Linked DNA regions of Schizosaccharomyces pombe. Changing the gene in region 1 together with any one later gene gives a genetic interaction. Each region holds a gene or a part of one and is shown in the gene's direction. Other genes may lie near its edges.

Evidence for each region.
Region 2: of sre1 (region 1) and rbd2, a mutation in one rescues a mutant of the other (synthetic rescue), as found in Schizosaccharomyces pombe (2 studies listed by BioGRID, with this or other methods).
Region 3: of sre1 (region 1) and hhp2, extra expression of one rescues a mutant of the other (dosage rescue), as found in Schizosaccharomyces pombe (one study listed by BioGRID).
Region 4: mutations in sre1 (region 1) and SPOM_SPAC977.05C together harm fitness more than expected from each alone (negative genetic interaction), as found in Schizosaccharomyces pombe (2 studies listed by BioGRID).

Annotation. Positions count from the first base shown.
Region 1 is NC_003423.3:1,689,363-1,695,625, forward strand, and holds sre1 (transcription factor Sre1), read left to right. Parts: upstream 1-2,031; 5' UTR 2,032-2,465; coding exon 2,466-5,168; 3' UTR 5,169-5,329; downstream 5,330-6,263. Other genes in the region: fructose-bisphosphate aldolase Fba1, read left to right, coding at 1-81; U4/U5/U6 small nuclear ribonucleoprotein complex subunit PRP38, read left to right, coding at 786-927, 1,126-1,616; SPOM_SPBC19C2.10 (BAR adaptor protein ), read left to right, coding at 5,859-6,263.
Region 2 is NC_003421.2:2,244,161-2,248,493, forward strand, and holds rbd2 (Golgi rhomboid protease Rbd2), read left to right. Parts: upstream 1-1,687; 5' UTR 1,688-1,799; coding exon 1,800-1,965; intron 1,966-2,011; coding exon 2,012-2,288; intron 2,289-2,442; coding exon 2,443-2,755; 3' UTR 2,756-3,083; downstream 3,084-4,333. Other genes in the region: pep3 (ubiquitin-protein ligase E3), read left to right, coding at 1-1,194; Ran GTPase-binding protein Mog1, read right to left, coding at 3,432-4,004.
Region 3 is NC_003424.3:1,047,371-1,052,386, forward strand, and holds hhp2 (serine/threonine protein kinase (CK1 family) Hhp2), read left to right. Parts: upstream 1-1,627; 5' UTR 1,628-1,664; coding exon 1,665-1,828; intron 1,829-1,994; coding exon 1,995-2,718; intron 2,719-2,804; coding exon 2,805-3,119; 3' UTR 3,120-3,766; downstream 3,767-5,016. Other genes in the region: atp18 (F0-ATPase subunit J), read left to right, coding at 1-15, 65-115, 160-221; SNARE protein Bet1, read left to right, coding at 4,359-4,369, 4,413-4,551, 4,601-4,804. UniProt on the Schizosaccharomyces pombe protein: Involved in DNA repair. May regulate the activity of protein(s) involved in double strand break repair caused by gamma rays.
Region 4 is NC_003424.3:35,020-38,456, reverse strand, and holds SPOM_SPAC977.05C (Vel1p domain-containing protein), read left to right. Parts: upstream 1-2,074; coding exon 2,075-2,689; downstream 2,690-3,437.

The DNA of each region.
Region 1 (6,263 bases):
TGGATCCATGAGGGTGAGAAGACCATGACCAAGCGTGTTCTTACCGCTCTTGAGGACTTCTACACTGTCAACACTCTCTAAATTTGTGGTTTTTGAAAGATGGAAATGATTGAATAGACGGTGGGCTTCATTAAAATTATATTTTTTTGTCCCCTTAATGAGAGTTCATACTGTTTTGAAATTACGTGTTTGAATATAGAGACATTGTTTTTTAAAATTACCATTGTAAAAGCATAAGAGATATTTGAAGTAAAGTAGGGCAAAGTAAGTTAAGAAATTTTTTTGGATTGGATTTGTAAAGTGTTTTTCAAGCATACTGTATATTGTTAAGATTTTTCTTTTTATCCTTTTATTCATCTTCCTTAATTGGTTAATGTGTTCTTAGGTATATAAATTTACAAAAAAAAAATTTCCGATTCCACATGACAATGAATGAATAAATAATATGTCCGTGCGTTTATTTGAATTTAATATATATCGTTTGGCAAATCTCGATGAGTAGCTTAAAACAACATAATCGCTTGAATTTCATGTGCTTTGTGTACACAGTGTGCATTGTTTAGTAGATCAACTTTTTCTTCTTTCATTGCAATGAGTACGGGCATTTTCCCTTTTCCTCCATATTTCACGAATCCATGTTTTTTTTAGATAACCCTTTCTCAATCAAAACTCAGCATGCTTCTTCAGACTTGACCACTTATATTGTCAGTACACTACTGCTCCTTAAAAGCTTACTCCAAGTCAAGACATCAAGGTTGGAGCAATCATTCTCTTCATGAGGTACTATGGCTGATTTTCTTGCTAGAGATTATCGCTCTCAAGGTGAGGCGGCGCATGAAATGCTGCCGACTTTCCTTATAGGAAAAATCTTGAGAGAACGCATAGTAGATTCTATTTACTGGAAAGAACAATGTTTTGGATTGAATGGTATGTGTTCTTCATTGACAGAAAAGGAAAGTGTTTTTACATATTAGAGTTCAAGTACGATTACTTTCCAAATCGATATTTTGAGTGATATAGCCTAAATGAACTTGATTTGGCAAGCAAAGAAACCAAGTATAGGTACTTGCTGTTTTAATCAGTCCTCAAACTGTTATTCCAAATTCACTGACTAATACATCTTAGCTTGTTCATTGGTGGATCGTGCAGTACGGCTTGAATATATAGGTGGTCAGTATGGAAATCAACGGCCCACCGAGTTTATCTGTTTGTTATACAAGCTTTTACAAATTGCACCTGAAAAAGAAATAATTCAACAGTACCTATCTATTCCTGAATTCAAGTATTTACGTGCCCTGGCTGCATTTTACGTTCGGCTTACATGGGATGATGTGGAAGTGCATCAAACGTTGGAACCGCTGTTAAGAGATTATCGGAAATTAAGAATTCGTACTAATTCTGAGATCCGATTAACATATCTGGATGAGGTTGTTGATGATTTGCTAAATGCCGAAGTAGTTTGCGATATTTCCCTGCCCCCATTGCGAAGTCGACTCCAACTTGAAGATTTGGACTTGCTTGAACCACTTTCATCTTCTTCAGACGAAGAAGATGATGATGAAGAACAAATTAGTAAATTGGAGAGCAATGAAGGTGCTGTAGATCGGAATATTTAAGGATAAGTAATATACAAAAAAAGAGTAAAGCGAAGCACGCATTTTGTGATGCGTCTACGATTTAACTTGGAATGACTCTACAAGGAAAAGTTATGGATTGAAATGGTTTTACACTTGAACTTATTAAAAAACAATTTATGAATAACAAACATCTAATCAAATAGATTTGTATATTAATATATATCGATTTCACATATTATCGCAAATACGCTATTTTTTCTTGTAAACAAATTTCGATAGACTTAGTTTACAGCACACTAAATATTTATAAAATGTCTTTGATACGCCACGGAATTTTTTTCACACCATACTTTAACGAATCACCCCATTCCGTCTATTTTCTTACGTTTCGTTAAAAACATGTCAGTCCACTTCTTTTTTGCTCACATATGAATTAACACGACTTTTCTCTTTCATCCATTACCATACTCGAGCAATCCTAACTTTGCTTATCGGGTGATCGATTTTAAATTTTTTTACTTATAGGACGTCCAGTAGCCTTTATAAGTTCATTGACAACAATTGGGTTGTTGCTGAGAGTTTGTTTACTGCGCTCGACTCTTGCTATAACCTAATCTTAAACGATTATCAAGCTGGATTTCCTTCTTGCTAAGAACATTATTTTATTTTACAACTCATTCAAGAAATTATTTTGCTATCTATCGCCTTGGATAGCTTTTAATGCGTCAAATTTTGGATAATTTGTAGCTCGATTAGAAAATTCGCTCAACATCCTATACAGTCACAGAGATAAAAAACCCTAAGAGTTAAATTCAATTTCTCTTTATTGTTGGATTTTTTAACTCGCTGTTAAATTCCGCTTGGTTCTAGCTGGAAATTTTGTTAAATATGCAAAGCTCAATTCCGTCAGTTTCCGTGTCGGTCGCTTCTCCTGCAATGGAAACTCCAACAAAAGCTTCGCCTGACAGCAAATCACCCAATTCAGTGGGTGCGATTCCTTCTTCATCCCCTTTGGCTTCATCGACAAAGGCTTCAACTTCTACTCCCTTTGTGGAGAATTGTTCCAATCTGTTGTGTGATTTGGCTAGCATTGTCGAGGACTCACCTCCAACCTTGACCAACACCTCGTTGTCTCCCCATTCGTTTTCCCTTTCTGATATGGAGTCATCAATGAGCAATTGGCTTAACCCTTTTGCGTTCGACAATACGATGAACTCGGCGCCTCCTCTGTTTACTTCGACCAACATGGGCTCCCCTAACTCGTTAGAAAACTCTACAAATCCTCTTCTCTCTAATTGCGGCTCTCCAAATTCATTTCAGAATGAGACCTTTACCGGCCCATCATTGAATGAGTTCGATGCCGATGATAAAATTCAGCGCCAAATGAAAATCCTTCACTCTGTTGATACAATCGATCCATCGACTGTTCAAAATTATCCTTCAGCTGATATGTCAAATCCAGAAGTCAAATTGAAAACCGAAGAAATTATTACACCCATGGACACCACTTGCAAGCCTGAACCTTCTGCCAAGAAAATAAAGTTGTCTCCTTCCTCGGAAGATTCTTGCTCAATTCCTGAAACATTACCTTTTTCGGCCCCCAAGTCTAGAGGCTCATTATCTCCTTCTGAAACCCCAGATTTTGTAGCCGGTCCTGGAGGAAAACCAAAGAAGACAGCTCATAACATGATTGAGAAGAGATACAGAACCAACTTGAACGACCGAATTTGTGAATTGCGTGATGCAGTTCCTTCACTTCGTGCTGCTGCTGCACTTCGTTGTGGTAATTCTCTGGACGATGAGGATTTGGGGGGTTTGACACCCGCTCGTAAGCTTAACAAGGGTACAATATTGGCAAAAGCAACTGAGTATATCAGACATTTGGAGGCCAAGAATAAGGAACTACAGAAGACTAACAAGCAGCTTTCAGATAGGCTGGCTTTCTACGAAGATCCTTCGATGGCTCCTCCTTCTAACGATACTCGAGCCGTTAACTCTGTTAATGTTGTTTCCTCATCTGACTATTCTGTTCACCAATCTTCTCGACCAAACCTAACCCAAAGAGCTTTTACTTCCCCAACCCTAAATACCATGGGCCGCACAGCACTAAATGGCATGGTTGGACTTGGTCTATTCAATTATTTTGGAAACGATTCTTCTCAATCTGTTTATGGTTTATTCGCTCTTCCACCTTTTCTTATGTCTCCATTCACAGGTACTGTTCTCTTTAACATGCTGAAAATTGGTGTTGTTTTACTCGGTTTATTCTATCTTTTGCACGATAACTCTCTTTTCAAAGGCTTCAAGGGTGAAAAGAAATCTAAAGTTAGTACCAGATCTTCCATGTCACCATCCTCAATCTTATTCCGAAAAACCGTATTCGAAAAGTATTGTTTATTGGACCATTCTACTTCGACTATTTCTCTATTTTTTGGATTACTGATCTTCACTCTTAAATCTGCTTATGGCTATTTGACTCATCGTTTGAGTGCTCTTTATACCTCCTCTGAGAATTGGGTTTATAGTGAGCAACAACTTGCTGAAGTTCGCAACATGGAAAAGCTTTTGGATGCCCAATTAATGGGTGGTGATGCTAAAGTTGACCGTTTGAGGCTCTTAATGGTATTTGCCAGTTCATTTTCTCTTCCTCCTTCAAGTCATACTTGTGCTTTACAAGCAATGTATTGCCAACTAATTTTTTCCAACACCTCTGTCCCATCCGCTATCGTTTCGAAGTGCGTTGCTTTCTTCTGGAATGCTGCAAAGAAACAACATAGCAAAAGTTCTGTACACGCGGAGTTACGTGAGCTTCCTGAGTGTACTGCTAACCTAATTGAAAACTCCCACGCTGACGACGTTTTCTCTCCGAATATGGTTGAGCGATTGTGGGTTCTAGCAAAGTGCACCCGTGACTCTGCTCAAATGTCAGATAGTATTATTAGCTCCTTATCTGATGTTTTGGTTTTATCTCCTCTAGAGGTGCTTGCCTCATGGTATGCCGCTGATTTGTTGGATGCCCTTTTGATGGAAAGTTTGAGCCGTAAAGTTGAGATATCCGAGATTGAGGAAATTATTTCCCTTTGTCCTAAGAACTCCTCTATTATTCGTCATGCTTTACTAGCTAAATTGGTTTTGTTCCCCGAGAATACAGCTGATTCTTTGAATGAAGTCCTTGCAGCATACAAGAACACTTTGGATTTATGCAGCCAAGATAAACGCAAGCAGTCAAGCGTGTTAAAGATCAACTTATCCAAGCTATTCACACTCCACTCATGCCTATCATTAGCACTCCAACGCCTTGGATACGGGGATGTTTCTAAACGTATGTATCAGGAAATCTTTGTACCTGATAGTGATGCAGACATTACACCTTTATCTTTTATTATTTCCTGGACCGCTTTGAACACTTTTGCTCCTATTTGCACATCTCCAAAGGAAAACGATGTCGTTGAAAAGATGGCCATGTACGTGCGGACGGCCATCGGAACTTTGAAAATTCAAGATTTGAAATTATCTCGTAAGTTAATCAACTCTTGCATAGATATTGGATCTCGCTTACAAGAAGATTTGGGTTATGTTTCATCAGCTTAAATTGTCGATTCTCGAGCTTTGAGAACAGTTAGTATACAACGCTCATCTATTGCAACTACCTTATTATTTTCCATGATTGTTATTTCATCAGTTATTTTGCGTATCATTTTTTAGTTTTAATTATTCTTTTAATAAATTACAGTTGTCGTCGGTAAGAGCAGTGATAAAAATATGCAATTAGAGTTATTTTGTTGTATCAAGCTAGCACAATTCACCATTTGAGTATATTTGGTGATTAAATAAAATGAATAGAGTACAATTTGAGGCATGCTAAGGTTCATCGAACTAACTATTTTTTTAAATAATGACACATTGGCAAGATTAAAAAATTGGATTCTTCTCTTGCAGTTAACTCTCTGCTGTTGATGAAGATGTGTTGAATCTTAGACTGCTGATATCCATTTTATACCAATTGTATAAAAAAAAGAATGTCAATTATTAATAAAATGGAAATGCATAAGATAGATAAGAGTGGTCTGAAGTTTTACGGTACAGTACGTAGTTCCGTCCTTACTGAAATCTCGGGAGTAATACGAACCATTCACCAAAGGTAAACAAACTACCAAATTGTTTTTATGTATTATTTACTACTATATTGGTTAACTTATTCTGAATCCTACAACCTAAAATAAAAATAAATAGACTCGCTTTTATTATTTGTCGATTCAAGAACTTAGCTCTCCTTTGAAGATGAACAAACATTTTGCAAAGCTTTCACAATGGACCGGTGAAAAATTTGGTTTTGATCGTCAGAAGACTACATTATCTGATGATTTTTGTTCCTTGAAAGGTGAAACGGATGCCTGGCTTGTGGGAATGGATAAAATTCATAGAAGTTGCACAAGATGGGTACGGAATATGGATAAACGAAAGGGCCTGCTCGACGAGAAAGATAAGCAATTACCTGTTACTCACGTTGGATCGTCTTTTGTAGAGTTAGGGCAAGCATTATCGCATTCTTCAAGCAATTCGCACACTTATATCATGTACGGAAAAAGCATGGTTGAAATAGGGCACCTACAGGAGGAGTTTATGGATTATTTGAACAATTCTTTTTTGGCAAATCTAGAAAATTCTTTAGCCGAGTTTAAGGCT
Region 2 (4,333 bases), on another chromosome or scaffold:
CAACAGGTTCAACGGGAGTTTTCAACTCTTCTTAATCAATACAAAGATGAGATAAATCGTGAAGCAGCTTATAATCTTGCTAATAACTATGGTAAGGAAGAACAGTTACTTCAAATTGCTACCGTTATGAAAGACCAGTCTTACATAATGCACTATTGGGTACAAAGAGAGAACTATGAAAAAGCGTTGGAGACATTAAATGAAGGCGTCAGTCAAGAAACCCTCATTCAGCATGCGACTGCCCTTTTAACTCATCGACCGAATGAAACTGTCAGCATTTGGGAACGTCAAACAGATTTGGACGTACATGCATTGATACCATCCCTCTTGAGTTATAATCAGCGTTCTCACGTACCGGTAGAGGAAAATGCGGCCATAAGATACCTTAGATACGTTACTGGTGTTTTGGGGTGCGTAGATCCATCTATTCATAATACATTGTTCTGCATTTACGCTTGTCATTCGAGTTCTAATGAGTCTTACTTAATGAATTATATTGAACAGCAAGGAAATCATCCTTTGTACGATATGGATTTAGGAATTCGATTATGCTTGCAATTTAACTGTCGGAGAAGTGCAGTAAAAATTCTGGTGCTTATGAAGCTGTATAGCCAAGGAGTGGAATTAGCCTTAGAAGCAGATGATTGTGAATTAGCTGCTACGATAGCAAATATTCCAGAGGAAGATGTTGTGTTGAAAAAAACTTTGTGGCAGACTATTGCAAAATATATGTTTTCCAAAAAAAGTGGAATTAAAGAAACCTTGAGATTTTTAGAGAATTCCGAGGTTTTACAACTTCCCGAGCTTATTCGCCTATTGCCAGAAGATATAAAACTGGACGATTTAAGTGATAATGTGTGTGATGAACTGGATCATTGCATGAAAAGAATTGAACAGCTGGACTTCGAAATCGGACAAGCATCAGAAGTTGCGCATGAAATACAAACTAACGCTGAAAATATGCGTAATAGGTACATTGTTTTGGAGCCCAATGAATCATGCTGGCACTGCAACCAACCTCTTTTTTCCGAACCATTTGTTTTATTTCCTTGTCAGCATGCTTTTCATCGCAGTTGTATGCTAGAAAAAACTTACAAACTGGCATCAGAAAAAAACATTTTGAAAGAATGTCAGTTGTGTGGTCCTTCTTATGCTGTAAGACTTATTAATGAACCTTTTTCGACGGATTTTTGAGTGCCATTTAAATTACCATTATTATGTGTTTTCGAGTCGTTTATTGCTTGCACCGAACAGCCTTAACGACCTTGACTTAAACAGTTTTAGACTCAATGAAATTTATACTAATGACTAGTTTTTTCACTCATATTGTCTTTGACATCGATCTCCCTAGTCGTTACCACCCCTGAAAAATTTGATATTTCTAATATAATATTAGCATTGAAATTGGAAGCTACAACTTCTTATATCTAGAATTTTTAATTGTTTTTAAAGTGCTATTCGTTTTCGAATCACGACTAAAAGTCATAATTCTTTTCTCATATATATTCTTAAACCGGTTATATTGTTTTTTGTGCTAATGAGTAGAAATAGCTCACACTCCACACGGTAAGCGTGCGATTTTAAAATAAAACCAATATTTTTGAATAAAACCCTTGGCTTTCCTTTGGTTTGTCTGCAAACGTAAGGCGAGCTCTCATATTCGCTTCAGGTGACCGGATCTTCCTTCGTGAACCATATGCCGCATTAGCGTATCCAGATCGTATTTCAGTCCCCTTTGAACTAATTTTGAAAAATTTATTAAATCAAAATTGTACGGATATTAAATTAGTAGCTTCTCGATGATTTTCATGATTCTAGGACGATCAAAGGAGTTCATTCTGAAATTACCGATATGGACGCAAATAATAACTTATATCGCCATTCTGGTGTATGCACTTTCCTTCTTTGGAATATCCACGGGGGTTCTGTCTCTTAGCTGGATAGGATTGTTGCAAAAAAGGCAGCGTAAGTTAAAATTCCTTGGTACTTTAATTAATAACGGAGAGAGTAGTGTATGAAATTATAACTTATGTAACTCTTCATCTTTCAATGTTGCATATTGTATTTAACTTTGTATCCCTGTTGCCAGCAATGTCTCAATTTGAAAAGAAGCAAGGCACTTTGGCGTGCATTTTGGTGACGGTCATTCCTTACACTCTTTTCCCGGGTATTATGCATTTAATTGTCTACCATTTTTTCTTGAGAAAAGATTACGTTTCTATTGCTGGACTTAGTGGATGGGCTTTTGCTTTTATCTCTGCTTCCTGTGTTCACTCTCCACAACGATTGTAAGCATTTCTTATAATTATGGTTGCAGATGCATACTTCCACACGTCTTCTTTCCTCACAATGTTAAGAAACAACCTGGTTTGTATGATTTTTTGCAAACGTCGAACCTCTCTTGTCTTTTAAATGATGGCGGTTTATTAACTTATTTTTTAGAATCAGCTTTTTTAATCTTTTCAGCATTCCTGCATATTGTTTTCCTATTATTTACCTAATTATGACTACCATATTGGTTCCAAAAGCTAGCTTTATCGGGCATGCATCCGGAGCTGTTATGGGGTATTGTACTCCTTTCATGCTTGGTTCTATCCCCTTAAAAAGCTGGGCTCAAAATGTGGACCCAATCTTCCAGTCTTGGGTAAAAAACTATCACTCTTTTGATCAACTGTCGCATGCTCAACTCCCCATTGCGGAACCTCTGTCGACCTTTTCTTCTTTCCCCGGAAAAGGAACCCGTCTTGGGGGATGAACTTTCTGTCTTTTACTTCTTTTCTGTTCTTCTTCGTATGATGATATCCTAAATGTTTGTTTTCTTTATTGCAAAGGGTGGAAAAGCTCCTCTCAATGAAGAGATCTTCTATCTTTTGGTAATTCTTATTCAGTATTTTCTAGTCAGTCGTTTACAGGTTTCAATCATAAAGATTGTTTCATTCGCTATATTTGTTCTTTACTTGCACGGAGTTAGGGACAATTAGAAAGTATTTTAATGTTTAATAATTCTTTATGATTAACTTGTTTTAATCACCACTGTCCTACAGCGGCAGTGTAAAGGACAAAAGCTGTACAATCAAAACACCTTGAAATTGTAATTTCCGTTATTCTTTGGAAACTAGCGTTTTACGTTGTACTCTCAAATCATAAAACATTAAACTGTAAAGACACAGTGAAACTTATACTATTAACAATGGAAGAATGGGAAAATTAAAATAATAGCAGAAAAAGTGAAAACCATTGCTAATCGGTTATCAAGTATCAGATGTTTTTATTAAAACCCTTCATACAAGTTGGAATAACCGGTTTTTATAAATAAGAGAAACAATTCCTTTCGGATAAAGAAAAATAAAACTTGAAAAGTATTTCCCTAGATGAAAATCTTAATTAAGTGTTGTGGGCTAGTTAATTTGCTTGCCTATGTCCATCATCCTTTAAGCAAATACTGTTTTATCGACAAGTACAAGAGATCGAGTAACTCGCTGTATTGTTTCGAGAGCAGCGCGAACGATGCTTTGATCAGAAGGGGGAATGTTTTCAACAGAAGAGGGAACTGAGGAAGTGTTAGGTAAAGGAGCATTTACGGAGATTACGATATCTGTTTGAAAGTCAATCAAAGTTATCACATTCACGAAGATTGCCACATTGGTAGCGGATTCAGGATTTCGCTTTCCTTTTTCAAGGACCCTCTGACAACCTTGTACAGAAGATCCACTAGCCTTTTCGCTTCTCATGCCCTCAAAGTCGTCTTCACCAAGACTTTTGTCTCTCCAAATTACTCTTTGAGATGCATCATTATCGAATGCAATGCTATTGAAATGGTAAGCTGCCACACTTCCATCAAATGGCTTCTCAATTTTTTCCAAAAGCTCAATGATCACTGTTAGGTTTTCCTTGGAATCTTGCAAAAACACCTCTTGGTTGTCAGGAATCTGACGCAAAACGCTAGCATCGAGAAATTTAGGAGGGAAATCAGCACAAAGAGCCCCACCGAATAGCTGTACCATTACTATAAAAATATAAAAACCTAATAGATTTGTTTGTCTCAAGAACCAGATTGGTATTCGAACCACAAAAGGATTCTTTCCTATTTTCACTCCATTTCATTCGACTGCGGTAACAAGTTAGTGCGTGTTATTTTATGTTTCATTATTATATTTATCGCTAGTAAAACGCTTTAAATGAGCCTAGATTCAATTTTCAATATTTACGCACTGCACGGTAACTACTAAACTGATTTAAAATTAAAATAAAAAGAAATTCAAATTGATGATTTTTAATGAAAATGATATGTTAAAAATAAAATTTTGTACACATATATAGTTTCTAATATCGT
Region 3 (5,016 bases), on another chromosome or scaffold:
CTTTTTTTCTAGGGGGTATGTATATTTTTCAACGATTTGAATTATTATTAACATGTCTTGACAGGAGCCATCGTATTCTATGGTACTGTAAAGCTTCGTGATGCTATGATGGATTGTACGTTTTTAATAGAAATAGAACAATTTTTTAACTCTATGTAGCTGCGGAGTATCGCAATGATCCTAGAAACCCAAAGGCTGGAAAGTACGGAAGTGATCATTAAGTTGATGACGAGTTCATGTCTTTCACTTCCTAAAATGTTTCAGCCCTTTTGATGTGATTTAATGGAAGTCAATGAAATTACACTGCTTGTTTTTGTAGCAGTTACAATTGATCAAAAGTTCTGTAATCAATCGAATTTATTTGTAGGAGATCAATCATTTAAATTAAAGTATTAAATGTATATTTAAATATGAACTTTTCAAATAAACAGAAGGAAAAAATGAATTTCCATGCTTTTTAGGAATACATGTGTTGCACGAAATAAATATTCACTTTGACTGAAAAGTTATGTACTTAGTCGTCATTTAATTCGCTCATTTTGTAATCTTTTAATTTACCTAGATAATTTGATAATCCTCAGAAAAAGTACCTCAAACATATTGTTCCTATTTTGTGTTTCCAATTAAGCAGATCTTTGGGCACGGATTTCAAAAGCTGTAAAATAACGTATTACAGAAGGTTTAGTATACACTTCTATATTGAAGCTGGTATTGTATTCTCTAGAACTGAGGCTTTTACTAAAAATAAAGCAGTATTAGCATTTTTCGTTTTCAATACTACTTCGCCATGTAGGCGATCGTTTTTTGCATTCACTCCAAAAAAGAATCATCGGAAAAACTATTGAAAGAGAATAGCAGTTCAATATGATTCTGTAAGTAAAATCCTGAACGTTCATAGAAAATCATTTTGGATTTGTTTGCTTTGTTTACAAAACAAATCACTTTGAAGTGATTCTCTTTGAGGATATGAAAAAATATGCTAGAATTCCACATTCTTCATAATGTAAACAAAACATTATTGCTTTTTGTATCAATAAATTTAATCCAAACCTCTTTTCTTTCCACTAGAAAACCACATGTCATTCATATTTTGTACTTTTCGGAAGAAAGTCAGAACAAGCTCCCACTCAGGTACTTCATGCTACAATGTAATGCACAAACAATTGAAGGGTAAAATATCTGTTGGAGCAAATGATTCCGTGACATTTCAGCCACATCACAAACGGCTTACTTCGGAATAAACAAATATTATTCTAACGGAAAAGAAAAAAAAAAATCCGCGTTCAGTAGAAGTCACTGCAAAAATATGAACCAACAAATTTGAATTCGCTTTGCTTACTAAATTTATTAAGTCTCATGTAAAGAAACAATCAACATCCACAGCCTTAAGGCAATCATGGTACAAACATTAAATAAAATATTCCACTCTTTTAGAAACGAGCATCTTAAAAAATTAGTTGACGAGGGAAGTAAACAAAGACATTGAAGTATTGCTTAGTAAAATAAAAAATTAGTCACATTACATTGTATATATCATGTATTCAAAACATCCTTCTACTCCAAATATAGCTCGTTGCAGCGCTCTATTTGCCTTCCTCTTTGATTTCTGTGATGATGCGATTCTAACAACCACAGTCATCTCTGTGAATTAGAATCTTAGCAAAATGACGGTTGTTGACATTAAGATTGGTAATAAATATCGTATAGGTAGAAAAATTGGTTCTGGCTCCTTTGGTCAAATTTACCTGGGATTAAATACGGTAAATGGAGAACAAGTTGCTGTGAAATTGGAGCCTTTAAAGGCTCGTCATCATCAGTTAGAATATGAGTAAGTAGTGCTTTAATATTTTTTTACTTAAGTATAAGTTGGATTTCTTTCGGAACTCCAATTTCTTCTTTATATCTATCAACCGTAGCTCGATGTTTTACAACCAAAAAGGAAAAGCAAAAGTTACTCCATTTGGTTATTTTTCTTTTTTCTTTCTAACATTTAGGTTTCGTGTGTATAATATTCTTAAAGGAAATATTGGCATACCCACAATTCGCTGGTTCGGTGTAACCAATAGTTATAATGCTATGGTCATGGATTTATTAGGCCCTTCTCTGGAAGATTTATTCTGCTATTGTGGAAGAAAGTTTACTCTTAAAACGGTTCTTTTACTTGCTGATCAACTCATCAGTCGCATTGAATATGTTCACTCCAAGTCATTCTTACATCGAGACATTAAGCCTGATAATTTTTTAATGAAGAAGCACAGCAATGTTGTTACGATGATTGACTTCGGATTGGCGAAAAAATACAGGGATTTTAAAACTCATGTTCATATTCCATATCGAGATAATAAGAATCTTACGGGAACGGCTCGATATGCTAGTATTAACACCCATATTGGTATTGAACAATCTCGCCGTGATGACCTCGAATCGTTAGGTTATGTTTTACTTTATTTTTGTCGCGGCAGTTTGCCCTGGCAAGGCTTACAAGCTGATACAAAGGAGCAAAAGTATCAACGGATACGTGATACCAAGATTGGCACTCCTTTGGAAGTCCTTTGCAAAGGTCTTCCCGAAGAGTTTATCACTTACATGTGTTACACTCGTCAGCTTTCGTTTACCGAGAAGCCAAACTATGCTTATTTGAGAAAGCTGTTTCGTGATTTACTTATTCGTAAAGGATACCAGTATGACTATGTTTTTGACTGGATGATATTAAAATACGTAAGTTTTGAAAAGAAAATGATAAGGTGATACGTTAGTTTAACCTTAACAAATGATTGAAAATTCGATTGACTAACTATTATTAGCAAAAGCGAGCTGCTGCTGCTGCCGCCGCTTCTGCTACAGCACCTCCACAGGTTACATCTCCTATGGTGTCACAAACTCAACCGGTTAATCCCATTACTCCTAATTATTCATCCATTCCCTTACCTGCTGAGCGGAATCCAAAGACTCCACAATCTTTCTCCACTAATATTGTTCAATGTGCTTCTCCCTCACCTCTTCCTCTCTCCTTTCGTTCTCCTGTTCCCAACAAAGATTATGAATACATTCCATCTTCGTTGCAACCTCAATACAGTGCTCAACTGAGGCGTGTTTTAGATGAAGAACCAGCTCCTTGATTTTTTGACTTTACTTTTCATCAATTCCTCTCTTACACTACGTCTTTTAGTCTTAAATTCCAAACCATCTGTTGACGTTTTAAAGTTCCACAAATATCTTTAATAATTCCTGGCTTTCTTTTTTGTCTATGGATGGCCGGATTGCTACACTAATACACTTTGAGGTTTAGCTATTGTTTTGAGCTATTCCATTTTGCCTAGAAGTTGAGTTTTAATGCCTTCTTTTTAAATAGACATATTGTGTAAACCTCATACATGCTTTACTGAAAAGACATAATTAGAGGACAAAATTTAAATCGTGCTGTTTGTTTATATTCAGCTCGTTCCGGTCAAGTTCTTGCCAAAGAATTGAGTCAGTCGTGCTATTCATTTCTAAATTTCTTCTTCCCAGAATTTTATTTTATTGTTTTCGTTCCCCATTGGTTCTTACATTCCGTTTTTATTCAAAACTGAAAAGTTTGTACCTCCATTGCTAGAAGTAATATACACAAGGAGCATGTTTCTTTTTTTACACTATCATTTGCGTGGCTCTAAACCAGTCTTTATTGCCTACCTTTGCAATAAAAGATATAATATCAATTGCATAAGAAATAATTCATTAATAAATGATAAATTTCATCGATTAAATAGATCGCTATTTTTCACACTGTATTATGGGCAAGTAGCGTAAAAAATATTAGCTCTGTTGGAGTTGACCGCTGGATCATCAAGTTTTACATACTATTTAATTTCGGCTGTAGCAAAGAAAAATATCCATCGATTTGCCATATTATCATATCTATTGCTTTCTGTGGTATTTTAACCACCGGTATTTCACTTCTACAAATGTAAACAAAGCACGTTGATTTGTTTACATTACAGTTGCCCCAGTAACACATTATGGATCAGCACCACAAAGAAAAATCATTCAAAATTGATGCTCAAATTCAATATTCTACAGGCTCAAGAAGGGATCTATACTTATTTTTACTAAACCCATAACTATCATCTCTGTTTCGTCTGCGGTAAAAAAAAAATTGTTTAGATTAATGTAAAAACAGAGCAAAATGAGATTTGTCACTTAGTACAACAATGTGTTACCTCTACACGCAACTCCTGAGTTGCGTCGCATGTTATTTGATGAGCTGACTTTGCGCACAAAACCAATACATAACAAAGAGATCTTAGGATTTGGAAGTTGCGCTACACCAAATACTTTTCATATTCGGTAAAGGGAAAGATTTTAAAAAAAGCTTCAGAATGGGATCAAGGTATGTACTAAATCTGATCAATCAATGTCTAACTAATCATTAGATTCGGTAGAAGAAAAGAACGCAATGGCGATATGTTGCCCTTGTATGAGTCTCAATCTCCTCAGCATTTAGACTCCTTGGAAAATGAAAATGATGAACGGATTTCAAAGTTAACTGGAAAAGTCAAGTCTTTGAAAGAGGTAAGATTTTTGCCATCATCAGGAAAAACATGCTAACTAATTTTAATAGCTTACTATGAATATTGGGACTGAGATAACGTCTTCTACTAAGTTGATGGAGTCAATGAACGACTCATTTGACTCGACCAAGTCACTTTTGAGCGGGACAATGACTCGATTAAAGAATGTTTCGAAGAATGGAGGAATTTCAATTTGGATGTGGCTCGCCTTCTTTTGCCTCGTTGCGCTTATCCTCGTTTTGGTAAGATTTTAGGCATTTTGCTTACTACCTTTACTCTTTTTTAGAGTTAGCATTTTTATGATTCATTTTATGGCGTGTATAATCTGTTAAAATTGTATACTTGAAGTTTCTTCATTCTCTTTTCTTCTAACATTTTCATTCTGATTATTTTAAACTTATTATCGATAGAAAAAAAACATTCATCCACCTTTGGTGTTTCCACACAAGTGGTTTGTCACGATAGG
Region 4 (3,437 bases), on another chromosome or scaffold:
AGAAAACTGAAAATGAAAGGGAAAAAAGCATGAAGCAATGTTACAAATAAATGTATAAGAAGGAATTCCTGTATTAGAAATTATATTACATTTTCATATAGAAATGATGATTTATGGTCTATTGATGTTTTCATCGTTAGTGCTTCCCATGATAAAAACAAATAAATTGCCATATGTTGAATCCTTCAGATTTTGAGTAAGGCTGAAGATGAAATGTCGCAATAATTCATAACTGTAATACTACATAAAGACTTTGATTATTGAGTTTAACTTTCATACATTTATTGCATTTTTAGCAAATGCAGTAGAACGGGCTTTCAAGAGATACAGAGGAAGAAAAGCGTAAGGGAATTATAAACTGGAATTTGTAAACATCTCTTGGAAATTATATCAATCTTGAATATTGGCTCATCATTAAAAATCATAGTGGAATACTTGGTTGTTATTCGAGTAGTTAGTCAGAAGTTATTGTTTTGATACACATAACCTTACTTGAATAATGTTACAAAAAAGAAAAATTATAATGGAAATAGATGAATCTAAAACAAATTTAATTTTTAAGCGATAAAATTGAAACAAACATTCGTCAACAAACTACTCTAAAATTTCACCTGCTACTAGTTTTACTACGAAAACGTAATATACTAGGGTTTCACAAGGTAAGTCATACATTCTAAATTTCTCCTTCCAGCATTTTGAAAATATCTTCTTTGCTCTAGACTTTGTTAAATACAGATGTAATAATATATGTTAACCACAAACTGCACCTACTTGACATGTGAATGGATGATATCTAAGAGGTGAAATTCAAATCTAAAGTAATGTTATGCAACATCTGTTAATTGTGTTTGTATTTCTTCTTAAAAATAATTACACATTTAACACGAAGCCATGAAAAGCGTTAGAGGTTTCGCCTCTAACTGATTTAAAAAGGAAACCCAAATTTTTTCCCTTCTTAATTTATGTAAAAGTATTGAGAAATACCTAGTTATAAAGATGAAATTTCGAATATTTCAAATTTCATATAAAGAAAGATTTCTTTACAAGAAATGAATGAGTTTTAAGAATATATTCACAACAAAGCATTTGATAAAATTGATTTATTAAGTATGCATTGAAACATTCTAATGAGATTTTTTAAAGGAAACTGCAAAAAAATAGGGCGGTATATATGCAACTCGTTAAAGACGAGTAGTATAAGAATTGCTTCGCTTTCTTCAAAGACTAAATATGGAAAAAGAGTGGGGGATTACTATATTAACAAGTTTTCAGAACAGAAACAGAAACAATTACAACTATCTACAACCGAGAATCTCTTTAATTAATGTTTTCCAGTTCAGTCTGGTTGAAGATTCGTTTTTTGGCTTCTAAGTTAAAATCCAAGTAAATAACTGACGGGTATTTTATTTTAGAATAAATCGATAGGAATCCGAATCGTTTATAATATAATAAACGGGATAAAAGCTACTCATATTGCTAATGATAATCCAGTAGGCATACTACGACTGAAGAAACATAATTTTTTTTCGAATTTTTCCTTATCTAATGGAACCAGTACCATTTCGTGAATTAGCAGATTTTCATTTGTTTGTTTTGGCCTCGTTATTCAAATTCAATAATGTAATGGAAGATTTTCCAAGAATAATAGACGTTGATAACAATGGGTGGGAAACCGCAAATTTTGTTTGAAAATCAGAGGGAAGATCTACACAACAAAAAGAGCAACAAATTTGAGCAGTAGAGAAAAGACCAAAAAAGCGTGTGTTTTCTGAGACAAATGTGTCACAACTCGCCGATAAATTCGCAATCACATAAAAATTGGTATTCGTTATTGACTAGTGGGAAAACCACGTTACCTCAACGATTTGCAGTTGTTACCACTTTTGGTGACATTTCAAAAAGAAAAAGGTGATTTGCAACGTTTGAAATTGCGACGATCATGATCTACGCGAAAATATCTCATTTTATATATGTACGAGTTAATCTATTTTTGTTGCTGAAAAAAGAAAAAAAAAACTATATAAACCGACTAAAATCAAACATTTCTTTACAAACATTCAAAAGATATTTCCATATGATTTTCAAAAACTTAATATCTCTCTTTTTCATTGGGCTCGCTACCGCCATACGCTTCAACCTCACTGATCTTGAGTGTAGTAGACTACGCGGTCCGCATTGTGGTACGTATCTACTGAAAGTAGTAGGAACGAATGCTACATACGTTGGTGAAAAATCATTTATAGGTCTTGATGCTTTGACTGAAAGTAAAGGTGAATTTTTTCAGCGTATGTTGGAACAAGAACCTCGACTTATTCCACGTTTGTTTACGATAGCTGAAAACGACACGGCCAACTTTACTCCCTTGACATTTACAACGTATTTGAAAACATGCAATCCTCAAAGTATTGAAAATGCAATGATCCCTTTTGTGAATACTGTTACCAGTGAAATTTCTTTTGATGCATGGGCGTATACAGCACAAAATTCAAGTCGGATAACGGGTCTTAGCAACCAACTGATGAATTCTACTCTATATAATGTTCAAGTAGCAACATGTACTCCCGGATTCTCTGCGTTATTGTTAGATAGTCCTACAATCAATGTTTTTAATAACGAGGAAGGCATGCCAAGTTGGTGTCAGCCCATTGAACTTATACCAGTTTGTCCTTTGGATGAGGGATTCAACTGATATATATATAATCGTTATTTAAATCGTGGGATTTAAAAATAGGGGTTAAATTTATCCTCTAAAAACATTTAATTAGAAACGCTTAAGCAATAAAAGTCTTTATACTAGATAAAATATTGTAAATTGTTTTTTTTATTTTTTTTTTTTATTTTAAACTTATACTAAACATATTTTCTAACAAATAACGGAATTCATAAGTATTTTGATTTTGTTTATGTGTTTTTCGCTTTTTATTGTGTTTTAATGGTAAGGAAAAGTTATAGCATACTTCATTTTACTAGTGAAAAAAGCATAACAGGAAATCTTTTAAGTTAGCGACAAACAGTTACTCGGCTTCCAAGCGGTTGCAAATCATTCGTAGTAGATCGACAATCTTGGAATGAGTCTATCAAACAAATCCGCGCTAGGCAGTACGCTAAAATGAACAGCAACACATTTGATTTTACCGAGTATTGAGTATTCTCATCGTCGTTATAACCATTAACGGATTTGTACGTTTTGTTTATCTTCACAGAGCCAAGAGATCAAAGAAGGACTGAGGTGCGTTAAGTACGGTCCAACATGTAATTATGTTCTTTGTCACAAATTAGAGCCACAGATCCTAAAAGTCTAAAATACGAGACAAGGTATGATTTTTCAAACTGTCCCTAGAATAAGAGTTGATCAGCCAAAATTATTGTGCAAGATGAAGCTGTAAGGCTAACTAAAGACTAATGATTCTATAAATAGAAAACATAAAACATAATGC